Macaca mulatta: one gene and its partners. The protein of the gene in region 1 interacts with the protein of each later gene in a biochemical or structural test. Links are inferred from orthologs where the notes say so. Each region holds a gene or a part of one and is shown on either strand. Other genes may lie near its edges.

Region 1 (5,195 bases):
TTTCTCCTTCTTCCAGGGATGCCTGCTCTTCCTGAAGAGATGGTTCTCGAACTTCTTCAAGGTAATTGTTGCCATTGCTGCCAGCACTGGCCCCGGCGCCAGCCCCGGCACTGGCACTAGCACCGGGGCCGGGGCTGGCGCCAGTGCTGGCACTCACCTTAGCCTGTGGAGGTTCCCGCTCTTCTTTCCCCGGCAGAGTCTCCCAGCTTTCGCCACTGGAGGACAGGGCTTGCTCTCGGCTTCGATATTTCCGACGCAGAGCAGCAATCCACTCTTTGTCACTGTCAGAGTCTTCCTCGCAGTATTTGTAGTAATCATCACTGTGCGTCCAGAAGTCAGGGTCGGCCATGGTGTGTCGTCGTCTCGGCACCTTTTCTGGTTTCACTTGGTCACTCCTCACTTCCCGTTTGTCTTCAGGGTACTTTGGCTCAGAATAGCCACTTGAACTCTCGCCTCTGCCTCTTCTTGCTGGGCCATCTGAGTGGCCTTCATTGTCATTGGCAGTATCCCTCCACCTGGAAGTACTGTGTGGCATATCATCATCATCATCAGTATCAAAAAAAATTTTGGGTTTCACGCAGTTTGGACTTGCCAGGTTTCTGATTTTGGGCCTGACCACAGGTTCCTCTGCACTCTTTGAGGTGTTTTCCCCACCACCACAAATACTCACAGGAGCCCTGCTGGGACATGCAGGTAAATTTTGCTCCCTTTTCTCCCTCTCCAAGCTGTCACCTTTTGTAGCCACCTTGCCTTCAGCAGAAGACGACTGTGAGGCCACACTACTTTGTGGCAGGAAGTCAGCTCTGCTAGCTGAGCATCTTGCTGCAGGGACTGGGTCTAACTTGTCTCGCTCCTCTCTCACATCACGGCTAAAACTAGAGAACTGTGGAGGTGGCCCAGCCAAAGACCTTGCCCCTTTCTCTGGGTCATACAGCTTATCATCTTTAAACTTGCCAGTTTTTCCTCTCGCTGGCGGTCGCTCAACAGGCCCAGCCCCCTCCTCCTCACTATCATCTGCCCCATAAGAGTCAATATGTCCATAGGTCATTCCTCTTCTGCTACCCGAAGCTCTGTACTCTCTTGGCGGATACCTGGAATAGTCCTCATTATCAATATTTAGGTTGGTTCCCGAACTCTCGCTGTCGTCCCAACTACGACGAGTAGTGGAAAATGGCGATCGGCTCCTCTTGGTGGTTTGACTGGAGGCTGATCTGTGCATTGGGACTTTGGAGTTCGTCTTTCTCTGGCTGGCAATCCTTTCCCGCTGGCTCGTGGGTGGCCTGAAACTGACATAAGCATGCCTTCTTCCATACCTCCTACCTGTATTGGACTGATACCCTCCTGTTGGATTGGGCCATACAGGCTTGCTAGATTCCTGACCCATCACTCTGACTTAGGAGGGTTTTCAATACAGCTGGGGCTGGGGCAGGAAGATTCCTGCTCCCTGCACACGTTTTTCAGATGGGAAAGTAAAATCAGTTTAGAATAAAGGAGCAGGGAGATTTATTTTCACTTCAGCAGGCAGGTAACTGAAAGAATAAGGGGCCTTTAAATTTAGTTTCACTTTCTTCTAAGGCCTGGAGTAGCATTCCAGTGACAGGTGTAGACCTGGAACACATTTTTTAATGTTGGCAAAATGATTACAAGACTGGGTTTGCAGGAAAGCCAGACTTAGGGGAGAATCTGATGGAAGATGGGGGGTGACCGGACACTTGGAAGGTGGGTGAAGTACTGTAGAATTGTGCCAATGTGGGGAAAGGAAAGACTGCTGTAGTTTTCTTTTTATGGGGTGCCTGCCTTTTTCTGAGTGCTGCAAAATACAGGAGAAATGCAAATTGGAATAGAGTGGAAAATACAGATCGCTGTGTGCGCACAAGTGCCTATGTGTCTATCAAGAGGAGAGGGACAGGTGGAAGGGGACCAGCAATCCTGCAACAGAGGGATGTTTATGTTTGTAGGGGGAAAGGGTATGAGTGTTAGAATGATTCTGGATGTGGGTATGAGAATGACAGGCATGGGTGGGGTGGCTTTGGAGGAGAGGGGTGTGTGTATGTATGAGGAAAGGGAAGGTGTTTATGTGTGTCGCTGTATGTGTGGCAGCTGAAACTACAGAAGGATGCCCATGTTTATGTGTATGTCACAGGCAGGGGAGTGTATGGTTGGCAATGGAGAGGAGTGTCTGAGAGTTTGTGTGTGCGTATGTTAGTCAAAATGGGAGGCAACAATGGAGAAATGTCAGTGTGAGCAAATGCAGCAGGCACAAACGGAAGCGGGGGTCGGGAGTGGCGCAGCACTGGAGACGGATGCGCTTGAGGTGGATGGAACAGAGGCCGGCAATCAAAGAACGATGCCTGCCTGTGTGGATATGGCAAGCAGGGAAGCAGGTGGTGTCCCCATAGAAGGATTTATGTGAGTGTGTGTGTGCACCTCAGGGACCAGCGAAAGAGCTGTGTCTGACACACGTGGCAGATCAATAGAGGAGAGCATTTGAGGAGGGGGTATGAATGAGCACATGTGGCTGTATATGCATGTCACTGGCCAGCAATAGAAGGATGTCCTTATGTGTGTATATGACAGGAAGGAAGAAGGAGAGCAGCCTGAGGGGGTGTGTGAATAGGCATGTGTTCGCGAGAGCACGCAGAGGCCGAACAGGGAGGGGGCCGGTGCTAGAGGTGTGTATGTGGTAGGCGGATAGAGGAGGGGGAAGGCATGGGAGGGTGTGAGGGTGTGAGGGTGTGTGGAGGGTGTGTGAGAGGGTGTGTGCTGCGTGTGCCTGCGCATGCGCGGGAGAGAAGACGCACTGGAACCTTGAGGATGGAGGGGCAAGGAGGGGGCTGCAATGGAAAGCTTCTCTGCGGGGGCGCGTGCTCGCGAGACACGGAGGGGTGTGGGGTAGGGGGTACGCAATGTCATAATAAGAGGTGGGAAAAGGCCATCAGCTCAAACGGGAGACCCAAACCGATGTAGCAGGGAAGAGGCAAAATGAAAGAAAAGGGCGTGCGTGGGTCTAGTTTTCCCTGAGAATAATTATTTTTTCCTCCTTACAATTTTTTCCCTGGGAACAGTATTTTTACCTAAAAATCTTAACCATTTACCATTTGGCAAAACAACAGCAAAATATGGGAAGAAAGGCCACGGAGTGCTCCGCAAAGGGGCCGAGGAGGGAAGAAGGAAGGAGAGGGGAGGAGAGGCAGGGAGAAGTGGGAGAGGGCCGCGACCACCACTACCCTCCCAATAGCGATGAAAGCCACTCGAGTGGGGACCGCGCCACACGAAAGGGGTTCCCGGCAGCGGAGGATGCGGCCCCAGAACAGGCCGATGTAGAACATGGGCCTCACTCTGCAGTCAGGTCCCGCGTCCGCCCCACCCCTTCCCGAGGGGCGAACCTGAAAAGCAGTTCCCAGGAACCCCGCAAAATCCTCGTCCCCGTGCCCGGCCACTCGCACTGCGCCCGACCACTCGCGCCACCGCCAGCGCCCGGATGAATCGAGGAAACAATCAGCCTTTCACTCACCAAGTCCAGAAAGCCACACGCTTTTCAGAGAAGCAGAGCTCTCGGACCTCCGACCGCCACGACCGCCAGAGCCGCTGCTCCCGGTCTCGAGCTCCTCCCCCGCCAGACAGCAGCGGGGCGGGTGGCGACTGCGGCGGCGGAAGTGATTGTGAAGTCAGCTGGAGCCCGCCCCCTTGATGTGGCGGGGGCGGCAGCTGCTCTCCACAAATCAGGGTGGGCCCGAAAGCATTATTTCATCTTAAATGATGAAATCGTCAAGGATACAGCAAAGGACAGCGAAAAATGTCACGAACACCCAGCTTTAACTAATGTTAAATATTTAGCTATATTCCCTTCTGTGTTTTTTTTTTAATAAAATAAAATCTGCAAATTCTTTCTGATTAAGTCCAATGTGAGAGTAATTACGTTACTACATCACATCCTATGTTACGTGTTATGGTTGTACCGAAAGTATTAAACCTGTGAAACTATATTTAGGGTTGCAGTAAGCTTAAATTTTTTTAACCTTATTGTTAAAGCAAACTGAAGCTGTTTAGTGTTGAATTTGTTGCTGCTAATCACAAAACCAAGCTTCTCTATTCAAGAGATCATAAGACACAACACAGGTTCATATTCTGGTATTGCATTGCAGTTAAAACATATTACAGTTATGCCTTTTGGATTTATACCATTTTACTGAATTCTGAAGTCTTTAAATTGCGCTTTATAATGGAACTCTAATATTTACAGCCAATGTAAACATTTCCTATGTTCACAACAGTAGCAAAGTTTTGTTCTTACTGGAAACAAAATGCACAAGAGAACAAAAATCTTAGGGGTAGCAACATAATAGAAATAGAATGTATAACTTTCAAACCATTAAAGTAATAATATGTGGAACAAAGAGAAAAACTCATTCTGAACAAAGGTCAAGAAATGTTGCTGGGGGTGTGCAAAAAAAAGGATGCAAAAAGTAAACAAAAACGCAGGAATCTAAATATATCAGCATGCATTATGGGTTAACATCTCCTAATAAAAACCAAACTCTTATTTTGAGGATTTTGTTTTTAAAAGTCAAGTTATATACTATTTCTGTGAGTTTCACCTAAAGCAGAAATAGAAAAAATATATATATGACAGTAAAATACTAGCAGAAAAAAAGGAAGGGAGGGAGGGAATGAGGGAAAGAAAGAAGCAAAAAAAAAAAAAAAAAGAAAGAAAGAAAAGGAAGGAGGAAAGAAACTCGTAACAACATCAATATCCTAAACATCGAGAACTCAGAGTAAAAAGCACTAAAGAGAACAAAACAGGTTGTTTTATTCACTCAGAAAGATACGACAAGCTGATGGTGTGTGCCTGTAGTCCCAACTACTTAGGAGGCTGAGGCAGGAGGATTGTGTGAGCCCAGGAGGTTGAGACTGAAGTGAGTGGAGATCACGCCACTGCACTCCAGCCTGGACAACCAAGCAAGATGCTGTCTCAAAATAATGATGATAATAATAATGATAATAATAATTGAACTTCATTGGCGAGAAATCTGAAGCTATCAATTTTTTAAATGGAGATACATTTTCTTTCTTTTTTTTTTTTTGAGATACATTTTCATCTAGCAATTCTACTTCTAGTCAACTTCTCTGTTGTGTGTTCTATTGAGACACACAAGTGGAGACAGATATGTGAATAGGAGTGTAGCAAGATAATG
Region 2 (5,269 bases), about 24 Mb from region 1:
CACGGGATAGCAGGAATCACGTAACTTTAATCTAGTAAATTAAATTCCTCAAAACCAACCTGCTAAGAGGGCTACAATTTTAATCCCATCTTTTCCTATAGTGAAATATCTACTGTTTGTAACTTTTGTTGATAATGGTTACTTAGCTAGCATAAATAATTGAAATGTGAACACTAAGTGCTAGAAATGTCTTTGTGGTCATTTAAATGAACCGACTGACAATTGCATTTAATACTCTCATATTAGTTACGAGCAGAGAAGTACAGTGCAGAAGAAGCCTGGGCTCTAAGTGCCAGGTTTCTTAGACTCGAATCTCAGCCTCACCATATATTATGTGCAACCTTAGGAAATGTATTTAACCTCATTGTCTCTCATATGTAAAGTGGGGATAATAACAGTACCTACCTCTTATGTTTGTTTTGGGCCTCTCATGCATTAATACAGGTAAGTACTTTGAAAGATGGCATACGATAAATGTTGCTTGACAGTTTTTAAGCACTAAACTGTTACTCAATATCTTAAGGGCTTACAGGAAATTCTTGTCAAACAGCACTTGTAAACTGATGTGAAAGAAGAGCACAAAGTCTTCATTGTAAAAAACAAATAATGACATTAGAAATGTGTTCCCCCTTTAATAATGGGAGTCAGGAATCACTGCTATCATCCCTTTCATTCATTATACTGAAGACCCTATCCAGAGGTGCGGGAGGAAGTAGGAGGAAGGAGGAAAAGGAGAAGGCAGAAGAGAGTAAGGATTAGAAATGAATAAAGGAAACTATTAATATTTAGAGTTGATAAGATTCCCTACATAAAAAACTTATGAGAATCTTAACCCTTTCTAAACTCTCAGCTGAACTTGTACTTCTGGGCAAGATGGAATGACAGAGACCATTTACCCAACTAGTTGAAAAATTAAAAAGTAAATTGTTTTCAGAACAATAGATATCAGGTAGTGAGGGCCAATAATCCTTGAGAAATGGTAAAGAAACAAGGTGACCCTATAAATGCCCCAGCATACTTCCCTGAGAGAATTTTCAGATTATGCCACAGGCAAGGGTAATAACTGAGACAGAACCTGGCAGATCCCCTGAGGTAAGAAGACAACACTCAGAGTCCAGTGAGAAGGCAGCTAAAATCTGCAGGTAATAGTTAGCAGAATGGGGAAACAGTGCAGAAAAAGAACTCCTGAGATTTGTAAAGGGTCCATTGAGTATTCAACAGAGTATACATTAGTGTATATAGAGGAAACTACCCAAGGCAGGGGAGAGAACCATTTGAAATCACTAGAAAGAACACTTTTCATCACTTACACTGGGACAGGAACAGCACCTGTTACCAACAGCCAGCAAGGAATAATTTTCCATAGACTGAGCACCACCCTGGTTCCACCTAATCAATCTTAAAAGCAAGACATAAAAGGATCAAACTGTTTCCATGTAGTTTCATCATATTCCAGAATAAAGCTCAAGAAATTTTTAGTTATATAAAAATATCTAGCATCCAACAAGGTAAAATCCACAAGGCTTGAATGTAAACAAACATCACCAGCAATGCAAAGAAGCTTGAAATTATTTTTTTAAAAAAATCAATAAATTGAAACCAACCAACAATTGATGCAGATGTTAGAGTTACCAGACACGGACATTTAAAAAGTTATGACATAATCTATTCATTTACAAAGTTAAGTAGAGGCATGGAAAACTATAACAAAGACGCCCAAATTAAAATTTTAGAGATGTAAATAATAATATCTGAGCTTAAAAATACGCCAAATTGGATAAATGACATATTAAACTATGGAAAAGGAAAGATTAAAGAATTTGAAAACAATGGAAATAAGAATCATCCAAAATGAAACCGACAGAAAAGAATTTTTTTGAAGTATGAAGAATATCAGTGGACTGTTGAACAATGGCAAGCAACTTAATACACAGGTAATTAAAGTCCCCAAAGAAGATGAGAGGAGTATTAATACTTTTCACCCGGCAGATCCCCTGAGGTAAGGAGATGATTCTCGGGAGAGGAAGGCAGCTAAAATTCTTAGCCACTGTTTCTTCATATGTTACTATTAATTGTGGGTTTTGCCATTATTTTAGTGATAATTTTAACCCCCAAATCAAAAAATATCAACATATTTGGTGCAAAAGAAACATGAAGGAAACTACAAGGCTCATCACAATCAATCTGATTAAGAGATTTTTTTAAAAACTCTGGAAACAATGCAGGAAAAACAAAAAGACACATTAATAACAAAGAAACAAATAAACTAAATTAGTACAATCCCCAACTTATGATGGTTCAACTTATGCTCTTTCAACTTTACAATGGCGCAAAAGCGATATACATTCCATAAAAAATAAACTTTGAGCACCAATACAGCCATTCTGCTTTTCACTTTCAGCACAGTATTCAATAAGTTATATGAGCTATTCAACATTTTATTATAAAAGAAGCTCCGTGTTAGATGATTTTGCCCAACTGTAGGCTGATATTAAGTGTTCTGAGCATGTTTAAGGTAGGCTAAGCTAAGCTACAATGTTTGCTAGGATAAGTGTATTAAATGCATTTTCAACTTACAGTATTTTCAACTTAAACAGGTTTATCGGGATTTAATCCCATTGTAAATCAAGGAGCATCTGTATAACCTTCCCACAAGGAAATTTTAAAGAGTCAGATGACTTCGCTAGCAAATTCTACCAACATTTTAAAAAGAAATAATACCAGTACTACACAAACTTTTCCAGAAAATTAAAGAATAGCAAATACTTCCTAACTCATTCTATGAGGCCAGTATGGTCCTGATACAAAAACCAGACAAAGACATTACAAGAAAAGAAGTAACTTATACAACAAAAAATAAATAGATCAAAGTCCTAAATGGGAAAAATCAACTTTAAAGGTTTTAGAACATTTAGAAGAGCATTTTTATAACCTCCAAATCAGAGAAATATTTCTTAAAGATACAAAGATCAATCATAAATAAAAAGACTGGTAGATTTGATCAAAATTTATATCAAAATTCATCACCTCTGTACTACAAAAGAAACCGTTAAGGTAAAAAGACTAACTACGGACTGAGAGCAGATATTTGCAACACTAACAAGGAATCCATATCCAGAATATAAATGTAACTTCTACAAATCAATAAGAAAAAACAAAAAGTATCCATAGAACCATTGTTTTCAACTATAAAAAAAAAGGAAACAACCTAATATCCATTAACAAAAGAACACTGAAATAATTTTTTGAATACTCCACAAAGACGGGATGGACACCAGTTCAAAATTTGGTTTGAATGTCAACACCAATGATACCAAACAAACACACACCAACATTCATAAAAAAGCTGATTACTCACATAATGAGGTTTTCTGCAGAGAGCAGGGGTGGCTCTCAGACACATCCAAACATGGCTTTATAAAGCAAGGAGAGAACACTGGCTTGGGTTTTTATGGTGGTTGGGGGTGGGGCTGGGGTGAGGATTCTCACCTGTGGTTTGAACTTTACACTGGTGGTAAAGAACACTGCATCATGGCTTTCTTATCTTGCTCAGATGTGGGACAGAGGGAGAACAGGGAGAGATAAGACTTCAAAGCTGTCAGCAGTCAAACATTAAAAATGGAGTGAGACTTTTAATTATGATTTTATACGAGATTATAAATAGATGCATGAGTTTTATATTCATTAATGAGCCTGACAAATACCATGATGAACAATAAAAAAGCAGGTTTGTAGAAGAATGCATACATTTCTGCCATATAAATAATGTTCAAAAAAGCAAAATAATTTCATATATTTCAAGTGATATTTATATAAGTAGGAAAATCAAAAGAAATGCAAAGGAATGATAAATACTGAATTGAAGATAATGGCAACATGTAGAGAAAAAGGAGTAGGATGTGATTGGGGGTTCATAGAGGGGACTTCAATTGCATTGCGATTTTCTAAATGTATTGAGTTAGGCAATAAATGCAAAAGTGTTCATTGTTTTATTATTATTTACACTTTTCTGCATGTTTTAATATTTTGTAATTTTATAAAGTGGAAGTCAGCTTTTAATACATATAGTGCCCCTAGTTAAATATCTTTAAATATCCTGACTATGGTAAAGTCTCAAATCAAATAAATCTTAAATTACTTGGTGTTCTCCAGCTTCTGACAACCACAGAGAAAAAGTAGACACTTTACTAATATGAATAACACTAATAAATGAAATTTAATAAAACAAGTTTTCTCCTATATAGATTAAGAATCTTCAAACATAATTTAGTTACAAGTATTTAATTATTCAGATAAAAGTTACAAAATGGTTAGCATAAAAAGTAATGACAGATGAAACCCTGTAGTACTTAATGTAAAAAAACTGATTCAGCAACAGCACACTTACTGAGATTTTTTAAGAAATTAAAGGTACCTCACATTCGAGGAATATAGAAAAAAATTAAATGTATGTGTGTGGGGTGGGAGAGATTGGTTGACTGACTTATGGTATCAGAGAACAATTCCACTATTTTATTCCTGTAGAAAAAAAAAAAAAAAAAAACGACAAAAAACTAGCCGGGCGATGCGGCGGGCGCCTGTAGTCCCAGCTACTCGGGAGGCTGAGGCAGGAGAATGGTGTGAACCCGGGAGGCGGAGCTTGCAGTGAGCTGAGATCCGGCCACTGCACTCCAGCCTGGGCGACAGAGTGAGACTCCGTTTCAAAAAGAAAAAAAGAAAAAAAGAAAAACGAAATAAAGTAATTTCTACCACTTTTTACCTCCTGAAATCTAACCACAATATAACACCTTAGTTTAATAAACATCTCAAAGGATTCACATATGGGATTTGTCAACTCAAACTTTTATTCTTCTTCTACTTTCTTACTAACTTTCACGAATTAAATGTAGCCCCAAACTACCATTTATAAGAAAATTACATTCCAAAACAGTTTTCCATTTAAAAAAAGAAAATGTCGTAAATGGTAATTAGGTACTTACGTTGGACTACATAAGATTGTTTGACCTATGTTGGTGCTGAAATTTTCCAATACTGTTATAAAGACCACTAATAAAACAATGTGCTTTTATGAGAAATTAACAAAAGAGGGCTAACACTGAGACGCTAAGAACCTATCTTCCAGTGCTATATCCCTAGTAGTACTGCTGATTCTCCTACCCATCTCCCTGATATCCCATTTGGCTCCCAGTATGAGTAGAACTTCCTAGTAATTCCTGAAGAGTGAAGGCTTGCAGAAGTAGGGCTGCAGAGGTTTTAGCAGGTGAGGAAA
Region 3 (4,582 bases), on another chromosome or scaffold:
GACAGATGTTTTCAGACTTACAAACTGGCATCTCTTCTCCTCTATTTTGAGTAATGACAGTCTGCTGTCTAGGTAAGAGTGCTGCTAGAGGACACTGCTGATTTTCACAGTCATGGGGGTAGCCTGATTGGTGGACTGCTTGGTGACGTAAGTGAATACCTTAGCAAGAAACAGCATTGAAAAACCAGCCCAATTGTTGACAATAGCTTTTATTTAATTTTCCACTTTCCCCTTATATCTTGGTCACCGAACTTTTTTGACTCAAGGTAGACCATCCGCATCCTGTGGTAGGGACCTTTTGCAGAATTCTAGATGGCAGGAAGCTTTTATGAACCTAAGTCCAAATTTTAATTTGCAAGGAAACTGAAGCAGATGAATTTTCTCATTGTAAAAAAATGAATACCTTGATAATATATTTGTTTTTCGTAGTAGGCCTTTGTCATTAAGCTTGATGCCTGAGGATATAGTTGTATCTTGTGTGGAACAGTAAGTTATTACTCACTGCGTATCAGATTTTAGCATACTTGCATTAGTTCATGGAATATGATTTTACATTTACTATAGCAGTTCCAGTGCCATTATCAGATTGCATTTTCCTACTGAATTACAAACAAATGTGTTATGCTACTAACATTTAACAAAATTTTAATAAGGTTGTGTTTGATGCTATTATTCAGATAATGTGTTCTAAATTGCTTTCCTTTGAATATATTTGCATTAAAGAGGAACTCGATTTGGTTCTTTGAAGAGTTTATCCACTTTCTGGGTAGCTTTAAAAAGACACAGGGAAATTCAGTTTCTTCTTTGCAAGTCAATAAATAGAGAAGAAACAAATTTGCTAAGATCTATAGAAGTAATGGCAGCAGATTGCTGATGGTTTGAGTTAATGAAATGACTCATTTTGGCTACTTGAGTTGCACAATTAAAATATACATAGACTGCACACATCATAGATGAGGGATAAATACCCTTGTGTTCTCTTTTCTTTCTCAAAGCTAATATATTATGAATTAAGAAATTTAAGAGATCCACATTATTGCAATTCTTGATCAGTGATGCCCAAAATTAAGTGGTAATCTCTTGAGAGTGCACGTTTGCAGCATTCCTCTTACGCATTTCTGCTAAAATTGTGGCTGTGAGCCGAAGACAGTTGTTTTCCAAAGGATAAACTCATTTGACCAAGCTAAAACATTTACTTAATATTGACAAGTTTTGTGGGGTTTTCTCATAGTTGTCTAGCTAAAGGAGTTTAATGCAGAGAATACACATACGGAAATAGTGAAACCGAAGTCCTGCTTGCGCGGAAAGCCTGCAGCAGACTTTTGTTTTTAACAAACTCCACGGGGCATTAGAGAAAGTAACTGGGGGCAGTGGGTTGGAGGGTATAAAATTGAGCGGAGGGACGAAAACTAAGAGCCCTCTGGGTTTTTTATATCCTTCTACATGTTGTGTAGAAATAAATGCTTTTACTTCCACGGTCGTACCTTCCTCTTCACCTTTTTTTTTTCTTTCTCACACATTCATCCTGTGAGATCTTTTCATTTACAAATGCTCCCGATTTAGAATTAGAAACTCATAATACCGTCTGTAAAACTTGCCTGAGCCTGTCTGGTCCTGAATTTAGCGACACACTTGTTTAGGAGTTTCGGTTCTCGTTCTCTGCTTGCATGGTTTAGTAAGAACAACACTTCGATATACTGAAATTCACCGACCAGACCTGCAGGGCTGCACAGAAATATCTGATGCTTTTGGTACCCCCAGCCCCGCAGCCGCGCAGGCGCACCGCCCAGCCGCCGTGACGCAAGGCGCAGGCTTCATGACGCGGCACGCAGTCTCAGCCGACACTGCGCGCCCCTTCTGGGGCCCCGCCCAGGCAGCGGCCTTAGCGGGTCGCCGACCCACGATCCCAGCCGCGGCTGCTTGCTTGCCGGAGTGTGCACCGGTACGCGTCGCCGGTGACATGTTGCAAAAACCGAGGAACCGGGGTCGCTCTGGCGGCCAGGCCGAGAGGGACAGCGACTGGAGCCGTGGCGGAAACTCCGGGGCCTCGCGGGCGGGCGAACACGCCCGGGCCCGCAGAGACGGCTTCGCAGAGGAGGCCCCGAGCACTTCCCGGGGGCCGGGCGGCTCGCAGGGGTCGCAGGGCGCCCGCCGGTCCCAGGCCTCCCCCGCCGTGGGCCCCAGGACCCAGAAGCAGCAGGAGCTGAAAGTGTCCGAGCTGGTGCAGTTCTTACTGATTAAGGACCAGAAGAAGATTCCGATCAAGCGGGCCGACATACTGAAGCACGTCATCGGGGACTACAAGGACATCTTCCCCGACCTCCTCAAACGGGCCGCCGAGCGCCTCCAGTACGTCTTCGGTTATAAGCTGGTGGAACTTGAACCCAAGAGCAACACTTATATCCTCATCAACACCCTGGAGCCGGTGGAGGAGGATGCCGAGGTGAGGGGTGACCAAGGCACGCCCACTACGGGCCTCCTGATGATCGTCCTGGGGCTCATCTTTATGAAGGGCAACACCGTCAAGGAGACTGAAGTCTGGGACTTTCTGCGGCGCTTAGGGGTCTACCCCACCAAGAAGCATTTCATTTTCGGAGATCCAAAGAAACTCATTACCGAGGACTTTGTGCGACAACGTTACCTGGAATACCGGCGGATACCCCACACCGACCCCGTGGACTACGAGTTCCAGTGGGGCCCGCGAACCAACCTGGAAACCAGCAAGATGAAAGTTCTTAAGTTTGTGGCCAAAGTCCATAATCAAGACCCCAAGGACTGGCCAGCGCAGTACTGTGAGGCGTTGGCAGATGAGGAGAACAGGGCCAGACCTCAGCCCAGTGGCTCAGCCCCATCCTCTTGAAATCTGAGGTGGATTCAGAGGGACCCCCGGGACAAGGGTCTGAGACCCAAAGGCACAGTGCAGAGGAGCGGGGGAAGGGAGAACGAACCCAGGAAGCGTATTTCTGTAGCGTTTCAATGTGTGTAGCTTTAGGATGTGTTTGCAAAGTTTTGTTCTTTTAATGTTGTGTTATTTGGTTCCAGATTTTCATCTATAAACAAAAGAGCATTTGTTTTGCTTTGATTTTACTTTTTTTGGTATAAAAAATTTTCCTAGCTTAGTAAAACGAATTGGAAAACTTGACTATGATCTGAAACAGATATGCCAGAAGGAACACATAAGTAAGTTGCTTTGGTGCCAAGAAAATAAAAAAGTAGCTATTATCGGGTCTCTTAAGCATCCCAGTTTGTAAGGAAAAATAAAAGTCTTTATAAAATTAAAAATAAAAACGTAATTGCCTATATCCTTATTACCTTAACCTATTTTATTTTTTCTATATTTCCTACATATGTAAGTATTATTCATGGTTCCAAGCAATGAACGTGGTGTATTTTCTCCAAATAGCAATTGTTTATATTCATAATTACTCAGCTGTGTTGCTAAACATGCAGTTCCACTTAGTTTTTTTTACATGCTACTCTAGTTATTACAATAAATACTGTATTTTTGAAGCACTGAAGCATTGTGTGTGTTTTAAATCGTGGGCCATGAGACAATTTCATGACGAAATCAGCGTCTTAAAGTTTTTGCAACATATTGAGGTCAATGTTGTTTTGTAGAAGTTGTTTTACTTTTGTGTGTGTGTGTACAGGATCATGAGGTAAAATATATTTCTACTGTGGATACCAAAAAGGCTTATAAAACAATAGCGTAACCATTAACCATGCCTGCTTGGGAATCAGACTGCCTGGGTTCAGATCCTGGCCCCACCGTCACTAGTATAGGAATTTACGTAGGTTCCTTAGTTTGTATGCAGATGTTTCTTGACCTGTAAAATGGGTTTAGTCCCTGATGTGGAGGAATTTGCTTGTTATTCTTTAATGTTTTTATTTTTTATTCTCGGTCTGGAGCTGCCACTTTTTAAATACAACTTTTCTTTATCTTGTTTTCCAAATGATTCCTAGGAGAGCAATTACTGGTTCAAAAGGTATATTCCACTAGTCTGACTCTATTGTATGGGGAAATAAGTATAAAGTGTATGGTGAGTATAGCCCACATAGAACAGTGAGAGCAGGACATAAGATCAACCTCATAGGGAGTTAGGTATAGGGAAAAGGTGTGGGTCTTGGGGCTGTCTGGCAAACTGAATTTGAATTACGGCTCATGCTAACTTGTCAGCATGGTGATATGGTGGTAGGTTTTAAGCTGTCTGAATCTCAGTTTCTTTACCTGTAAAATGAAAAAAATTATAGCTATATAATAGTTTGTTTTATGGACTAGATGAACTAGAAGAGTTCATAGTCCCATTGTATTCCTCCATTACATGTAGCAGATGCTGTTTTTAATGCAGAGATTCAACACGTTTTATTCAGTGGGTAAATAAGTATAATTGTTTTAGGGGGAGGTGCTGCAAATTAACCTTGAAATAAGGCAGATATTTTTCACTCGGGGGGGGAAAAAGTGAACTTCATCAACACTGGACTGAATGTCATTTAAAAGAGTCTATAGTGAGTATGGAGGAATGTGATAGGTTGCTGGGTTTTATTTCATTCTGTTGAATTGGGATTTGCCTTTGTTTCATCA

What was found.
Region 2: the proteins of PJA1 (region 1) and MAGED1 form a complex in vitro, tested with the Homo sapiens proteins (2 studies listed by BioGRID, with this or other methods). The link is inferred for Macaca mulatta from reciprocal best matches to the Homo sapiens genes PJA1 and MAGED1.
Region 3: the proteins of PJA1 (region 1) and NSMCE3 form a complex in vitro, tested with the Homo sapiens proteins (2 studies listed by BioGRID). The link is inferred for Macaca mulatta from reciprocal best matches to the Homo sapiens genes PJA1 and NSMCE3.

What each region holds. Positions count from the first base shown.
Region 1 is NC_133426.1:75,668,486-75,673,680, forward strand, and holds the start of PJA1 (E3 ubiquitin-protein ligase Praja-1), read right to left. Parts: upstream 3,638-5,195; 5' UTR 3,515-3,637; intron 1,287-3,514; exon of another isoform or gene 1,281-1,286; 5' UTR 1,220-1,280; coding exon 1-1,219. UniProt on the Homo sapiens protein: Has E2-dependent E3 ubiquitin-protein ligase activity. Ubiquitinates MAGED1 antigen leading to its subsequent degradation by proteasome. May be involved in protein sorting.
Region 2 is NC_133426.1:51,752,554-51,757,822, reverse strand, and holds the start of MAGED1 (melanoma-associated antigen D1), read right to left. Parts: upstream 3,415-5,269; 5' UTR 3,404-3,414; coding exon 3,359-3,403; intron 1-3,358. UniProt on the Homo sapiens protein: Involved in the apoptotic response after nerve growth factor (NGF) binding in neuronal cells. Inhibits cell cycle progression, and facilitates NGFR-mediated apoptosis. May act as a regulator of the function of DLX family members.
Region 3 is NC_133412.1:9,160,733-9,165,314, forward strand, and holds NSMCE3 (non-structural maintenance of chromosomes element 3 homolog), read left to right. Parts: upstream 1-1,866; 5' UTR 1,867-1,960; coding exon 1,961-2,860; 3' UTR 2,861-3,468; downstream 3,469-4,582. UniProt on the Homo sapiens protein: Component of the SMC5-SMC6 complex, a complex involved in repair of DNA double-strand breaks by homologous recombination. The complex may promote sister chromatid homologous recombination by recruiting the SMC1-SMC3 cohesin complex to double-strand breaks.